3 linked regions of the Macaca mulatta genome follow. The main gene of each other region encodes a partner of the protein of the gene in region 3 in a complex. Links are inferred from orthologs where the notes say so. Each region holds a gene or a part of one and is shown on either strand. Other genes may lie near its edges.

The links.
Region 1: the proteins of CNOT1 (region 3) and ZFP36 are in contact, whole or in part, in a crystal structure (PDB 4J8S), measured with the Homo sapiens proteins. The link is inferred for Macaca mulatta from reciprocal best matches to the Homo sapiens genes CNOT1 and ZFP36. Residues at the interface, in NP_057368.3 of Homo sapiens: Gln821, Glu835, Asp845, Ala848, Asn849, Phe852, Gln853, Tyr856, Asn894, Glu897, Glu898, Phe901, Gln904, Tyr905, Pro906, Glu909; in NP_003398.3 of Homo sapiens: Arg314, Arg315, Leu316, Pro317, Ile318, Phe319, Arg321, Ile322, Ser323, Val324, Ser325.
Region 2: the proteins of CNOT1 (region 3) and CNOT2 are in contact, whole or in part, in a crystal structure (PDB 5FU7), measured with the Homo sapiens proteins. The link is inferred for Macaca mulatta from reciprocal best matches to the Homo sapiens genes CNOT1 and CNOT2. Residues at the interface, in NP_057368.3 of Homo sapiens: His1864, Ser1865, Ala1866, Ala1867, Arg1870, Asp1871, Gln1917, Pro1921, Ala1923, Pro1925, Ala2003, Tyr2036, Leu2039, Glu2040, Ser2043, Arg2045, Ile2048, Ala2049, Ala2053, His2054, Leu2079, Leu2084, Lys2086, Gln2089, Ile2090, Leu2091, Tyr2092, Lys2093, Gly2094, Leu2096; in NP_001186231.1 of Homo sapiens: Met350, Val351, Asp353, Gln354, Phe355, Gly356, Met357, Ile358, Gly359, Leu360, Leu361, Phe363, Ile364, Arg365, Gly372, Met373, Val374, Leu376, Ala377, Leu378, Gly379, Ser380, Asp381, Leu382, Leu385, Leu387, Asn388, Leu389, Ser391, Glu393.

What each region holds. Positions count from the first base shown.
Region 1 is NC_133424.1:50,503,504-50,508,011, reverse strand, and holds ZFP36 (mRNA decay activator protein ZFP36), read right to left. Parts: upstream 3,001-4,508; 5' UTR 2,959-3,000; coding exon 2,917-2,958; intron 2,108-2,916; coding exon 1,151-2,107; 3' UTR 427-1,150; downstream 1-426. UniProt on the Homo sapiens protein: Zinc-finger RNA-binding protein that destabilizes several cytoplasmic AU-rich element (ARE)-containing mRNA transcripts by promoting their poly(A) tail removal or deadenylation, and hence provide a mechanism for attenuating protein synthesis.
Region 2 is NC_133416.1:77,323,314-77,327,834, forward strand, and holds the start of CNOT2 (CCR4-NOT transcription complex subunit 2), read left to right. Parts: upstream 1-1,274; 5' UTR 1,275-1,346; coding exon of another isoform or gene 1,347-1,726; 5' UTR 1,727-1,757; intron 1,758-4,521. Other genes in the region: uncharacterized protein LOC144332960, read right to left, coding at 1,118-1,188, 1,347-1,485, 1,589-1,726. UniProt on the Homo sapiens protein: Component of the CCR4-NOT complex which is one of the major cellular mRNA deadenylases and is linked to various cellular processes including bulk mRNA degradation, miRNA-mediated repression, translational repression during translational initiation and general transcription regulation.
Region 3 is NC_133425.1:54,241,496-54,246,083, forward strand, and holds the start of CNOT1 (CCR4-NOT transcription complex subunit 1), read right to left. Parts: upstream 2,940-4,588; 5' UTR 2,813-2,939; intron 1-2,812.

The sequences.
Region 1 (4,508 bases), on a different chromosome or scaffold from region 3:
CGTTCCGCTACCCCAGGCTGCCCCGCCCCGCGCCCGCCCCCGCCCCCGCCCCCGCTCGCTCTGGGCCCGCGCCCCGGCACATTCCGTCCTCCCCACCCGGCCCCTCCCGCCTCCCGCCTCCCGCGGCCCCGTGGGGACGGAAACATTCAGTCCCCGCCCGCGCCCGCCCGAGAGCTAGGTCAAGGAGCCCGGCAGGACGGGAGCGCAGCGCCCCCGACGCCCGGGAACTGGCTCCCCCGGTTCCCATCTGGTGACCTCACCTGGTCCCACCCTTTCAGGTGAACTGCCAGGCCCGGTGACGTCACTTCCTGCCAGGTAAGCGCCGCGAGGCTCGGAGAAGCAGAGTTGACTGCACCCAGCTTCCAAAAAGTCACCCTCTACCTCCCCATTCCTGTCTCTAGACCGCGAAGAAGCCAGGATCCCAGCTTACACTCAGATTGTTTATTTAAAAATGCCCCAAAACACAAAAATAGACTTTTAAGGTAACAATATATATTACTAAATATATTATAGTCTACTTATAATTATACCGTCGTTTCCAATATTACAAAAAAAGAGAAAGAAAAATACAAGGGAAGCAGACGACCCAATATATATAAATACTATAAAATCATATTAGAATAAATAAAGTCGTCATAAATAAAGGGTCCATTGATTTATGGATGGGGTTTGGCAACGGCTTTGGCTACTTGCTTTTGGAGGGTAATTTGAGCACCAGGATTCCCCCTCAGGAGAGGTTCCAGTTACCAGGAGACACTGGAACCTCAGGTCTATAAACACTGGAGGGGCAGTGAAGGCCTATTATTCACAGCACGTAAGATTCTATGAGACAGATTTGGGCAGGGAAGAGGTGGGGAGAGGGCTCACTGCCTCCCTTAAATATGCTACATTTTTTTTTTTTTTTTTTTTGGTCAAAAACCTCAGAAGACACTCTATCCCCCACCACCATGAATACTGAGCTTGCACACTTGGGGACCTGCCCCAGTGTGAGGTCAGGGGAGTGGGTTAATGCATTCTGGAAAAGGGGGTTACTTGATTACTTGATTACTGTCCCTCAAGTCCCCATAGCCCTAGGGTCCATGCAGAGACCACAGTGCAACAGACGTGGCTCCCCGCTGAGATCCAGCTGATCTGACCGGGCAGTCACTTGTCACTCAGACACAGAGATGCGATTGAAGATGGGGAGTCGCCGGGGGGCTGCCGCGGGCTGGGGTGGTGCAAAAACCCCCGCCTCGAAGACAGGAGAGTCAGAGCCCCCCAGGCTGCTGCCGCTGCTGGCATATTCATCAGGGTCGGATCCCAGGGACTGTACAGAGGGGGTCCGAACCAGGCCACCCAAGGGCCCCCAGACGCTGACAGGAGTGGCCCTTCGGCAGGAGGGGCAACAGAGTGGGCTGGGGTCTCTTCGAGCTACGGGGGTACCAGGGGCAGCAGAGAAGGCAGAGGGTGACAGTGGAAGGTCCCCAGGTGGTGGCGGGGAGCTGGAGGGTGAGAAGGAGCTGGAGGACAGGGAAGGGCCGACCAGGCCTGGTGGTGGTGGTGAGGTCCGGCGGCCAGAGGGCAGGCCGGAGAAGCTGATGCTCTGGCGAAGCACAGGAGGGTGGCCCGGGGCCGCCAGGTCTTCGCTGGGGTTGTGGATGAAGTGGCAGCGAGAGCCATAGGGGCAGCGGCCCTGGAGGTAGAACTTGTGGCAGAGTTCTGTCTTGTACTTGGGGTGGCGATTGGCCTGGCGCAGCTCGCCCAGGCCATGGGCAAACTGGCACTTGGCCCCGTAGCGGCAGCGTCCACTCTCTGAGAAGGTCCGACATAGCTCAGTCTTGTAGCGCGAGGGGGTGGTGGAGGTCGCAGTGGGCGAAGTGGGTGAGGGTGACAGCTCGGGGCCCAGGCGGGGAGCCAGCGGTGCGAAGCCAGGGGGTGGGGGCACCCAGCCACAGCTGCGGCCTTCTACCAGGCTGGTGGAGCGGCCAGGCAGGCGGGAGGTGACCCCAGACGGGCTGGAGTCGGAGGGGCTCAGGCTCCAGAGTCCCGAGGAGCCCCAGCCTGGGCTGGACTCAGTCCCTCCATGGTCGGATGGCACCGGCACGTCAGGGCTCAGCGACAGGAGGCTCTGCGGAAATGGGTCGGTTAAGGTACCCGAAAATGCAGGGCGACGCCCCACCCCAGCTGCAGGGAACTAGAGCTTGCCAGGCCGGTTTGTGGGCTCCTGGCCTGAGCCCCACCCGCCTGCAAAAACCCCTGGGTTCCGGATGCCAGGAACCCAGATTTGGAGGTTCTGAGTTTACCCACGACCGAGGCCTTATCCCGAGGGACCCAGGAATCCCGGCTTTCCCGGCTGGACCAAGAGGGGGCCCCGAAGTCAGGGCACACCACTTTTTCCCAATTTTGGGTCTCTTGCCCTCCCCAGATATGACCCACGCGTCAGGATCTCCAGTTTCACAACTGGAGGAACCGGGCAAAGTTGACCCAGGAGTCCGGATGGCTTCGGTTTTAGGGTTCTCAGAGAACTACGGTCAGGGACTGGAGACACAGAAGTCGGATCCCCCCAACCCTGAGACTTCAGCCCCAGAGACGCCTCCGCGCAAAACCACGCCCTCAGCAACGACTAGGGGTGAGCCAGGTGTGGGGGCCACTTCCGCCTCCAGGCAGCCTAGGTCTGAGAAAAGTTCTCCGACTTTCCACTCGCACGGGCCGCCCCACCCATGTTTGGGCCAAGAGCCGGGAGTCGTGGGCTCCATTTTCACCTCCAAATCACCAAGCTGGTCTGAGCGGGAGGCAGGGGCCCCAGGCTGGAGGGCAGGGCGCTAGGAAGCCCCAGTTGGAGAAGAGAGGCAAGCGTCCCGGGATGGAGTTTGCGGCGCTAGAGAGCTGGGGAGTCAAGTGTGCAGGTACCGGGGGTGCCGTGCGGTGGGGACTCACCTCGTAGATGGCAGTGAGATCCATGGTGTAGCGGTTGGCCATTAGAGGGGAGTCGGCCGAGAGTCGGAGCGCTGAAGTCAGGCTGAGGCTGGCAGGGAGAGCCGGCTACTTAAACAGCAAGCACGGGGCGGGGCCTGGGCCAGGGGCGGGGCAGGAGGGGCGCTTCCCGGACGCGCGCCCCGGGCGCAGCCCGGCTGGCCCTGGACTGGTTCCCTTCCGCCCGGCCCTGGGCCAGGACGCGCCTGAGCTTGGCCGGTGGACAGCCGCGACCGGGCGGGGAGTGCGTGGGGAAAGGGTGGGGGTCGGGGTGGGGGTGCGGATCGGGGGGGCGCCTGCCCAGTTTTCAAAGCTGGAGACTGAGGCGTGTAGAAGGAAACTGGGGCGGAGGTGGGGGCAGGGCTTCAGGGGCAATTGACAAGGGCAGAGGCCCGATGGGGGTGCGCGTGCGACACAGACGGACGGGGGCGGGGAGAGACACGCAGAGGGGTACAGACAGACAGGGAGAGAGGCAGAGAGAAAAACAGAGACACACACACACCGAGAGACACATACAGGGAGAGATAGGGTGAGCAGGGGAGGGACGGTGGGGAGACAGAGACAGTCCCAGAGACAGATTCAGAGGGAGAAGAGGGTTGGGAGGATCACAAAAAGAAACAGAAAGGGGCTGAGCGCAAGTGGTTTACGCCTGTGATCCCAGCACTTTTTGTGTTTTTCTTTCTTTCTTTCTTTTCTTCATTATTATTTTTTTGAGAGACGGGGTTTCCCTATGTTGCCCAGGGTGATCTTCGCCTCCGCCTCCGAGACTGAAGGGATCCTCCCACCTCGGCCTCCCAAAGAGCTGGAATTACAGGTGCGAACCAGCAAGCCCGGCCAATCCCAGTACTTTGAGAGGGTGAGGCAGGTGGAGTACCTGAGATCAGGAGTTCAAGATCAGCCTGGGCAACAGTGAGATCCCATCTCTACAAAAAATACTATTTAAAAAAATTAAAAAGAAAAACTGGACAAAAAGGAGAAAGACTGTGAGAAACAAGCACTTACAGAAAGAAATCTGCCAAGCAAAGTGCCAAGAAAGAGCCGGCAGGCCTTGGAGGGGAATTCTCTGAGAACTGCCTGCCTTGTGTTGTCTCACTCCTAAACAGCCCAGACAGATGAGACCAGAACTGCTCTCCCTCTCCCCACTTGCTGGGGTTGGGTGGGTGAGTGAGTGGGTTGGGGTCCAGGATACCTAGCAAGGCTGAAAAGGGGCCTCCTTTCCCAAGTCACAGGGCGGCTCTAGCCCCTCATCCTCAGGCAGATGATCTCTTCTAGGCTGAGTTAAGGAGAACTCACCTAGGCTGAGTTCTAAATGCTTTACGCACATTCATCCTAATGCTAGGTGGTATGCCTATTTAAGGCAGGAGGAAACCAAAGTGAAGTTACTCTCCTGCCCGGCTCACACCTGTAGCCCTAGCACTTTGGGCACCCAAGGCGGGCGGATCACGAGAGCTCAGGAGTTGGAGACCAGTCTGGGCAACATGGTGAATCCCCGTTTCTACCAAAAATACAAAAATTAGCTGGGTGCGGTGTCACACGCCTGTGGTCCCGCTATTGGG
Region 2 (4,521 bases), on a different chromosome or scaffold from region 3:
TCAAAGTAAGTAGTATCAAATATTGAAAGTAATAGTATCAATGTATTTTCTCCTAACACTCCTAACCCACACGTTTATTATAAAAATGTTTGTTGTTCTATCTCTTCCAGTAAAATACTCAAGGTAATAAAACTCTCAAATCAGACTTACACCCTCTGGAAGTCATTCTAAAGAGGTATAACCAATCTTTTAACACACCATCTTATGGTTGAAGATGTTAACATGAGAGGAGGAGAAAGCAGAAAGAGGAAGGGACTATTTGGAGAAGACGGGGAGAAAAGAAGGAAAGACACCAATGTGTTGTTCCTCCTCGAATTTTCCTGAAGTGGAAAAAAAAAAAAAAATGAAGTAGAATGTTTGATGAAATGAATAACCAAGTAAAACATTTTCTGTCTACACCAGTACCACTAGGAGTTGAAATAAATTCACACAATGTCTGCTATGTCAAAACACCTTACCTTCAAAAACATGACAGTTACCTTTTATTTTATAGTATGTTGTGTTTCTTGCTATTTCTTATTTTTGACCTTCAATGACAAATTTAAATTGGATTACAGTGATTCTTTTGTAAGGAAAAGGTAAATTTTTAAAAGAAACAACCAAGTGAAGTAGAAATTTTATTTACTTCAAATTAACTAATTACTCAAATAGAAAAGGACAATTTTTCACATTATGAAGCTACACAATTCCAAAACACACATGCAGAGGCTCTTAAGAACGAAATGTCTAGTAATTACAAAAAAAGTGAAGAGTTTACAGACATACAAAGAAATAAAGGGGAATTATTGCAAAGAAAAGTTTAATTTCACTTTGAACGACAACGATTTTTCTGGAAAGCAGATACTTCACTCCTTTAAGTTTCCACCCAAGCCACAATAATTTCAAATGGTCTTGCGGATGACCCAGCTGGTCACTCTTGTTTATGTGGAGACTGGGGGGAATGAGAGTCAGAAAAAGTGCTATAAACCTAATTTGGCTAGAGCAAGTTCACACGACACGACCGTGCTTTAAAAACTTGCTCTCCATTATGTACTTCCTTCCACCAGGTTGGGGGGGGGAAAAAAAAAGGTGAGGATGGTGAGTAAATACACCAGTGGTTTCATCAGAGGGGAACTCACTACTCAGAAGGTGACGGTGACGTGGTGCCGGTCCCTGAAGTACGCGCACAAGCTCCGGAGGTTGCGGGAGCTAAGGGAGGAAACGGGGACACGGTTAAATTCGCCCAGGTGGCGGGAGTGAGGAGGGGAGGAGTGAGGAGGCGGACGTGCGGGGGCGGGGTGTCCAACACAAACACAAACACGAACACGCTCAGCATCCCCGGGGAGGGCGGACTGAAGCCACCTCACCATTCATCGCCCCTGGACCCTGCGGTCCCCCTCGGACTTGGGGCCAGAGCCCTCTGCGAAGCAACCTGGCCCCAGGAAAACGGCAGCGGCCGCAGAAGCCCCGCTCTCTGTAACGGCCGCGGAGGAGCAGCAAGCCTCCCTGTGAGTCGATGGGAGACAAGACGGAGCAGCGGTAAGGGCGGTAGGGGAGTGAAGCGCCTCTCCCCACCTTGTTAGAAGCGCGCTGGAAGCGGCCTACCCACCCCATCGCTGCTGCTTTGCAGTCGCCGCTCCCACCTTCCGCCGCCACCCGGAGGGAAGCCGGAGCGACGGGGGTCACGGCGGCGGTCAGAGGGTAAAGGTCTTGCTCCCAGCAGCCTCCGCGGTGGATACGTCGCCATCTTGGATCCGCGGGACAAGAAAATTCATGCGGTGAGTTTTTGGCAAATTTTCGGAAGTCTGGCAGCGGGGCGCGCGGCGGGGGCGGCGGATTCGGGGCCCCCGCAAGGCGGGGGAATGCCCCGGGGCCGGTCCGGCCGCGCCCGGGGTCCGCCGGTAGCGTCCCGGCCCGCCGCTTCCCGTTGCTTTTGTCTCGGCTCCAATCGAGAGAGGGAGAGCGGAGCGGGCGGGGAGGGGGGGTGGCGGCGGTGGAGGGAGGGAGGGGGTGTGTATGGGGGTGGTGGTGGACGGGACGTAAAGCGTCGCTGTACTCGGGCCGCTGCAGCAGCAGCTCCAGATCCTAGGCCCGGTCCCATCCGCGAGTGGCGGGGCTTCCCCAGACTCCACTCCCCTAGGCTCCCGCCAGCGCGGAGGAGCCGCTACCGCCGCGCTGCTTCCTGGGGGAGAAGAGAAGGCGGCTGCGGCCGTGGCTGAGGAGCTCGAGCCCGCTTTAGACGGCTCTGCCGCCTTCCCAGCAGCTGGTGCTGTCTCTGGCTCCTTACATTCTCAATACACGTATATCATCTGCCAGTTATGTGTATTTCTGTTAGTGTGTGTGTAAGTGTCAGATGGGAGACACTGGACTGGCTAACGGGTGTCAGGAGCCTGCAGGCCCTGGGATACCGAAGGCTGTGCATGGTGGAGGGAGAAGGAATGCAACTGCGATGCTGCCTCTGCCACCGCACCAGGAAGGTGAAGCTTCCGTAGTGTCGTAGACTGAGTCCGGATGGTCCTGGGGCGGCGGAGGAACCACAGATGCTTCTGTCTGTGAAGTTACAAGCCCTGGTTTTCTACTTCCGCAGGGGCCTCTCCACCTTTTGCTGTTGTAGGTCTCACTTAAAAGTTTCACAGAAGAAAAGAGTAGGGTTAAAAGAGGCCTTTGTAGTTCTTAATTGAGGCACTGTTGTCTGTCCGGGAGAAAGCTGATGACTCTTGGTGACTGTGGTCCTTAGCAAAAGTGAATTGTAGTTTTCTTTTATACAAAGTATTTCCAAGGTTTTAGACTTTATATTTATTCCAGGCCTGTAGGTACGGTATTACCACCACTAAAGTCTTACATAAGGGTACCACCCTCTCAGAAGGAACCTAAACAACTTCCTTCGAATCCTTGGAGACATCTTCACTTTTCAACATCCGGAAGACTGAGTGCAACATATTTTGTTTCATTTTCATAAAACTCTTGGTCAGAGAATCCCACTCCTTTTAAAATCGTTTGGGCAGTTCTTCGTAATTAAGTACACTGATTTGAACCCTTAGATTCTTGGCGAAATGGTAAAAAGTACTCAAAGTCAGTTCACGAGGGAAGCCAACTTAAATTTAAGGTTCCAAAGTTGAACATACTTCATGCTTGATATTAGGAATTTTTAGAGCTCGGAATCATAAGTGTGACTCTTGATTTCCCTTTTGAAGCAAGATAAGTGGAAAGAATAAAGTATGGGGTGAGGGATGAGATAGAAATTTTAAAGTATCCATTTACATACAAGGTTTATGTTGAGTTTGGGAATGCTTGGCATAATTGACAACAGTTCTTTCCAAACGTCAATGAATATGTCTCTTATAATTTTGTAAGATTGCGAATTGAAAGGGTTAAGAATCATAGTGGGCTGAAATGGTTAAGTGTCTATATTCAGAGCCCAGTTCATTGAAATGTTTTATAATGGACCAAGATAATTAGTAAGCTCTGTATGTTGAATTTGTTTAGTTTGTAGTTCTTTTATAATGTTAAATCTAAAGAAAAAGAAATACAAAATACACTTAAAGACAAAACATGTTCCACTCTACTCACTTATTTCTTGACTTTGTAAGATCCTTATTGTAGAAAAGGTATCTTTCTCTCATATTTTCTGAGAGCTTGAATTGTAATAACTTTTGTGAATACTTTGTATTTTAGAGAGGAAGTGAGAAACTCTGCTAAAGTTTTTTTTTTTTGTATCTGAATTAGTACTTCATCAATACAAATAAGTTAATGTAAACATTTGTTGGCAGGAATCTTTTTTTAAGTATACAATGTAGAGATATCTGTAACCTAATCTGATCTCAGGGAATGAGAATTGCCTGTTTGTTTAACCAAGCAACACATACAGCCTATACAATTTTTCAGTTTCTATAATACTTTAATTTATATGGTGGAAAAGGAGGGCAAAATGCTTGTGTGTGAGTGATTTATATCCCCAAGTACCTGATCTTGAAGATAAAACTCAGAATGTGGCTTATCTTCTGATGCTGGGCAAAAAACAAAAACAAAAAAATTCAGAATGATACAACTTCCCATATACCTCCCTACAAGGACTAATTACCTTTGTTTTTCCTTTATAACTTTGGGTGTTGCACTTTTTGATTTTTCAGAGATGCTTTACAGTTATTATAACCTGAAAATTATTTGTTCAAAAGTAAATAAAATTTTCAGGTGTATGAATAGATTTTATTAGAAGTGCTTCTAACCCAGTTCTCATTTGTATTCCTTTAGTAGATACTGGTATTAAAAGTACCTATATTTTGAAAGACCATTACAGAATTTTTTACAACCTGTATAAGTTATAGTTTTATGTTTTCTAGTGACAGACTTCATAAGATTTTCTGATAATGTAAATAGAATGTATGCTTCACATGTATATGTGAAATAATGAGTAAGCATTAATAGACTAGTGAAAAACACTTAGCTTACAATTTATTTTTTTGCTCTTTAAAAGCAATGTTAAACAATAGCTGTTTTTTTGTTGTTAAAATTTGTTAAAATTTTCCTGAGATTTTAGGAAAA
Region 3 (4,588 bases):
ATCCTGGCCAACATGGTGAAACCCCATCTCTATTAAAATACAAAAATCAGCTGGGCATGGTGGCGGGCGCCAGTAGTCCCAGCTACTCAGGGGGCCAAGTCAGGAGAATTGCTTGAACCCTGGAGGCAGAGGTTGCAGTGAACCGAGATTGCGCACCACTGCACTCCAGCCTAGCGACAGAGCGAGGCTCCATCTTAAAAAAAAAGTTTATCATAAACAGATCAGAATCTATCCAAAAACATACTCAGAAAAAGTAAAATGCAACATAATTTGAAATCAGACTTTAAAGCATGTTTTGAAAAGATGGCAAGCATTTCCATTTGTTTTCATAGTTTTTTTTAATGACTTGACTCCAAATAAGGATGTCTTATTACTTAGCTTGACAACATTTATATATATATATATTTTTTTTTTTTTTTTTGAGACGGAGTCTCGCTCTGTCGCCCAGGCTGGAGTGCAGTGGCCGGATCTCAGCTCACTGCAAGCTCCGCTTCCCGGGTTCCCGCCATTCTCCTGCCTCAGCCTCCCGAGTAGCTGGGACCACAGGCGCCGCCACCTCGCCCGGCTAATTTTTTGTGTTTTTAGTAGAGACGGGGTTTCGCCGTGTTAGCCAGGATGGTCTCGATCTCCTGACCTTGTGATCCGCCCGTCTCGGCCTCCCAAAGTGCTGGGATTACAGGCTTGAGCCACCGCGCCCGGCCGACAACATTTATATTAAAGAGACTAGGATCTAAACCCCCAGGAGAAATTTAGAAACCAGAAAAAAAGAAAATGAACCCAGGGTGGTAAGCTGGGAACCAAAAAGAACGTATTTCAATTCTTTTCCACCATAATGCCACAAAACTGTACCTTAAAACTTCTAAGATTACAATCTTAGGTAAGAAAAGGAAATATTTTCAGTTACAAATAGACACGTCTTTGTGCCTTGATTCTAGACTTTTTTTTTTTTTTTTTTTGAGACAAAGTCTCCCTGTCCCCCAGGCTGGAGTGCAGTGGCTCTGTCTCGGCTCACTGCAACCTCCACCTCCCGGGTTCAAGCGATTCTCCCGCCTCAGCCTCCCAAGTAGCTGGGATTACAGGCACCTGCCACCACACCTGACTAATTTTTGTATTTCTAGTAGAGACGAGGTTTCACCATGTTGGCCAGGCTGGTCTCGAACTCCTGACCTCTGGTGATTCACCCACCTCGGCCTCCATAAGTACTGGGACTACAGGCGTGAACCATCGCACCCAGTCGATTCTAGACTTGTTTCCACTATGACTTGGGGGACTCACACTTGTTGAAAAGGGATCAACTGCCCAAACTAGTTTTATCAACATGCTACCATTTCACTGAAAACACAGCTAGTCACCTAAAACCATGTATCATCAATGCACGTTCTCCTTAGACAAGGTAACAATTTGCAGTGTCCTAAGACATAATTATTTAAACTGTTACCACATGTCTTCTTAATAGCTAAAATACTCTGCTGCCAATCTCTAAAAGGGTAGGAATGCCAACCTGGACCACAGACCACTTAAGTATTAAACCCACGTACCCATACAAAAAAATTGTTCTTAATCTGTTTCATCTTCTTCCTAATATTTTACTTGCCCTCCCTCTTTGTTTTAATACATATATTCCCTATTCCTATCAAGGAGGCTGTCATAAGGAAAACTTTCGGCATTTTTTCAAACAGTATAATTATATTCACTCAATTATTGACTTTAAAAAAAACCCAAGTAGTCACAGGCGATCGAATTGTAGAGAAATCGGCAGGGTAGGTTAAGCATTGTTGCTCAGTTTTCAGGAAGAAAACAGACCTTAATTGATTAGAGTCCTAAGAAATGGGACATTTGATTGAAGTAACTTCATGGGAAAAGTTTGTCATAAAGTTTATTTTAAATACAACATTTTCAAACACACAGATGTCAAGCATTCTTTTTTAATCTACAAAGCTTACTCCTCGTGGAGTTAGTATCGGTGAGCCCTCTTGGGTAAATTCTGCAGAGGAGGTGGTACTGAAGAAGTATTATTTGTGTTTGGCCTTAAGTACCTCTACAAGATCTGCAGTGGATCTCATCAGCCTTGAGGCCTACAAGTGTTCAGCTCACTAGCAGGACACTTGTCCTGGGTGAGCAGGGCCGCCACTACTGCAGACACCGGACCGAGTAGGTGGGGGCCGACTTCAAAGAAAGTGTGAGCGCCCAGGCGCGCGAGTGGAACAAAACCTGTAGCAAGTAATAAGGAAGTGCTCGCTCCCGCCCGCCCTTCCCATCCGGGGACACCCGAAACCTGGGGGGCTTTGACAACGTGCTGGGGGCGTCAGAGGGGGAGAGTGGCAGCTCCGAGTACACGGAGAAGAACTGGAAACGTGCAAAAACTCCAAACACGGTGCCCCTCGCCCGAAGCGCTAGGCCTCGGGAGCCGATGCCCACTGCAACCATCCGGGAGCAGAGACAGACAGAGGAGTTGAGGAGCTCGTGGAGGTCTCAGGAGGGTGCAACCCGCGCGAAGCCAGGCCCAGCGACACGAACTGCCGCCACTGCCGCCCCCTGAGCCTCCAGGCCCGGGACAGAGACCACCCCGGGTCTCACCCCGAGCTCTGCTCTCCGCTCCCTGGAGCCTTCTGGCTGGCCTCTAATTTTCAGAGCGCGAAGCCTCCGAGAGCCGTGCGGAGAAGAGTCCGCCCTCTCCCGCCTCGTCCCAATTCCCCGTCCCGGCTGCCTCTCACTCCCTGGAGCTCCGGGAAACGCTTCCAGTGGCCCCAGGTCCACCCCTATTCCTCTTCCCACCGAAACTCGCGTTCCCAAGCTGTCACCGCCACCCTACCGTAGCCCCTGACGCCAGCCCGCCTCACCTCAGGCGGCTCCGGCAGCGCTGGACACAGGAAACTCCTGGGTCCCCGACTCCGGCTCTCCTCGACCCCCTCTTCGGTTAACTCCGCTTGTTTCTCTACAAAATGGCGCCGGAGGTCGCGCGCTCACGTCGCGGCCTTTCCCCTCCCCGTTCCCATTTCATCATTCGCTGCCCGCCCGAGGAGGGATGGCCCCAGTGCCAGCCAATGGCCGCGCCCCGCCTGTGGCTTCTAGCCAATCACCGACAGGTGCCCGCGGATTTAAACCAATCACACTCTATCACTTGCAGAAGTCGAGGGAGAAACCAGGCTCCTGCTAGCAACTACCAATCCGGACTCTTACTTCGCGGACTTTGGCCAATTGCCGCTCACCAGGCCCAGTGCACCAGAGTCAGAGCCCTCGCGCCTGCGCTCGAGGCGAGGGCCAATAAGGAGACGCTGGTAACTTCGATTTGGGGCTTCACGTACTTCCCACCTGCCCTCGAGGGCTGCAACCAGTGGGGCTTGGCATTGCCTTTGAGGAACAATAAATTATGGAAGGGGTCCATAACGCCTCGCCACCCTGCGCGGGAACTACTTTGAGTTACAGTGAAACAGCCTTCCTCCACTTTCCTTCCTCTTTCGAAATGTCACGATCCAGCAGACTTCGGGGATTCCCAACCGAAACATTCCCCTCCCCTAGTGTCCCTTTGGCGGGGAACGCCAGCCAGAAAGCAAGCCAGGTTGCGACTAGAGTTGGGGCGCTTTGCATCCTGGGATGTGTAGTCGCGCTCCCCTACCCCGTTCCCATCTCAGAAGTAATGCGACTTCTTCCGTCACTGGCTGCGACGTAGAAGGAGCAGTGCATGCTGGGGGATGTAGTCACCCAGGTGGCCACCTTGTCCTCGCTTGCTTCGCGTTGGTCAAGGGAACTTTGTTTTAGTTCTGCCTATTGAAGAAAGGACACCTTCCAGAGACGCCTTCCAGAGACGTAGGAGACGCAAGTTCTCTTACTGGCTTAAGTCCTAGAAGCCTTCTAAGAAAGGATACCCATGTCCTTCGCTCTCAAGAGAAAAAGCATAGAGACATATTTTGCTTTGGTTTGTTTCTTATCTATGATAGTTGGTAAGATTTTATACTCACCTGTACCCCAAAGAGAAAGGATTGGGAAGGAAGTGTTGACTGGTTAGCTGTATTACCTTTTGAAATTAAGTCCGGGCACGGTGGCTCACGCTTGTAATCCCAGCACTTTGGGAGGCTGAGGCGGGTGGATCACGAGGTCAGGAGATCGAGACCATCCTGGCTAACAACGGTGAAACCCCATCTCTACTAAAATGCAAAAAAAAAAATAGCCGGGCGTGGTGGCTCAGGCCTGTAATCCCAGCTACTTAGGAGGCGACGCAGGAGAATCGCTTGAACCCGGGAGGCGTGGCTTGCAATGAGCAGAGATCGCGCCACTGCACTCCAGCCTGAGCAACAGAACGAGACTCTATCTCAAAAAAAAAAAAAAAAAAAGGCCAAGCGCGGTAGCTCGCGCCTGTAATCCCAGCACTTTGGGAGGCCGGGCGTAGTGGCGGGCGCCTGTAGTCCCAGCTACTCGGGAGGCTGAGGCAGGAGAATGGTGTGAACCCTGGAGGGGGAGGTTGCAGTGAGCCGAGATTGTGCCACTGCACTTCAGCCTGGGCGACTGAGCAAGACTCCATCTCCAGAAAAAAAAAAAGAAAGAAAGAAAAAGAAATTCAGACCTATCCCTCTGCTCACCCCTGTCCTCA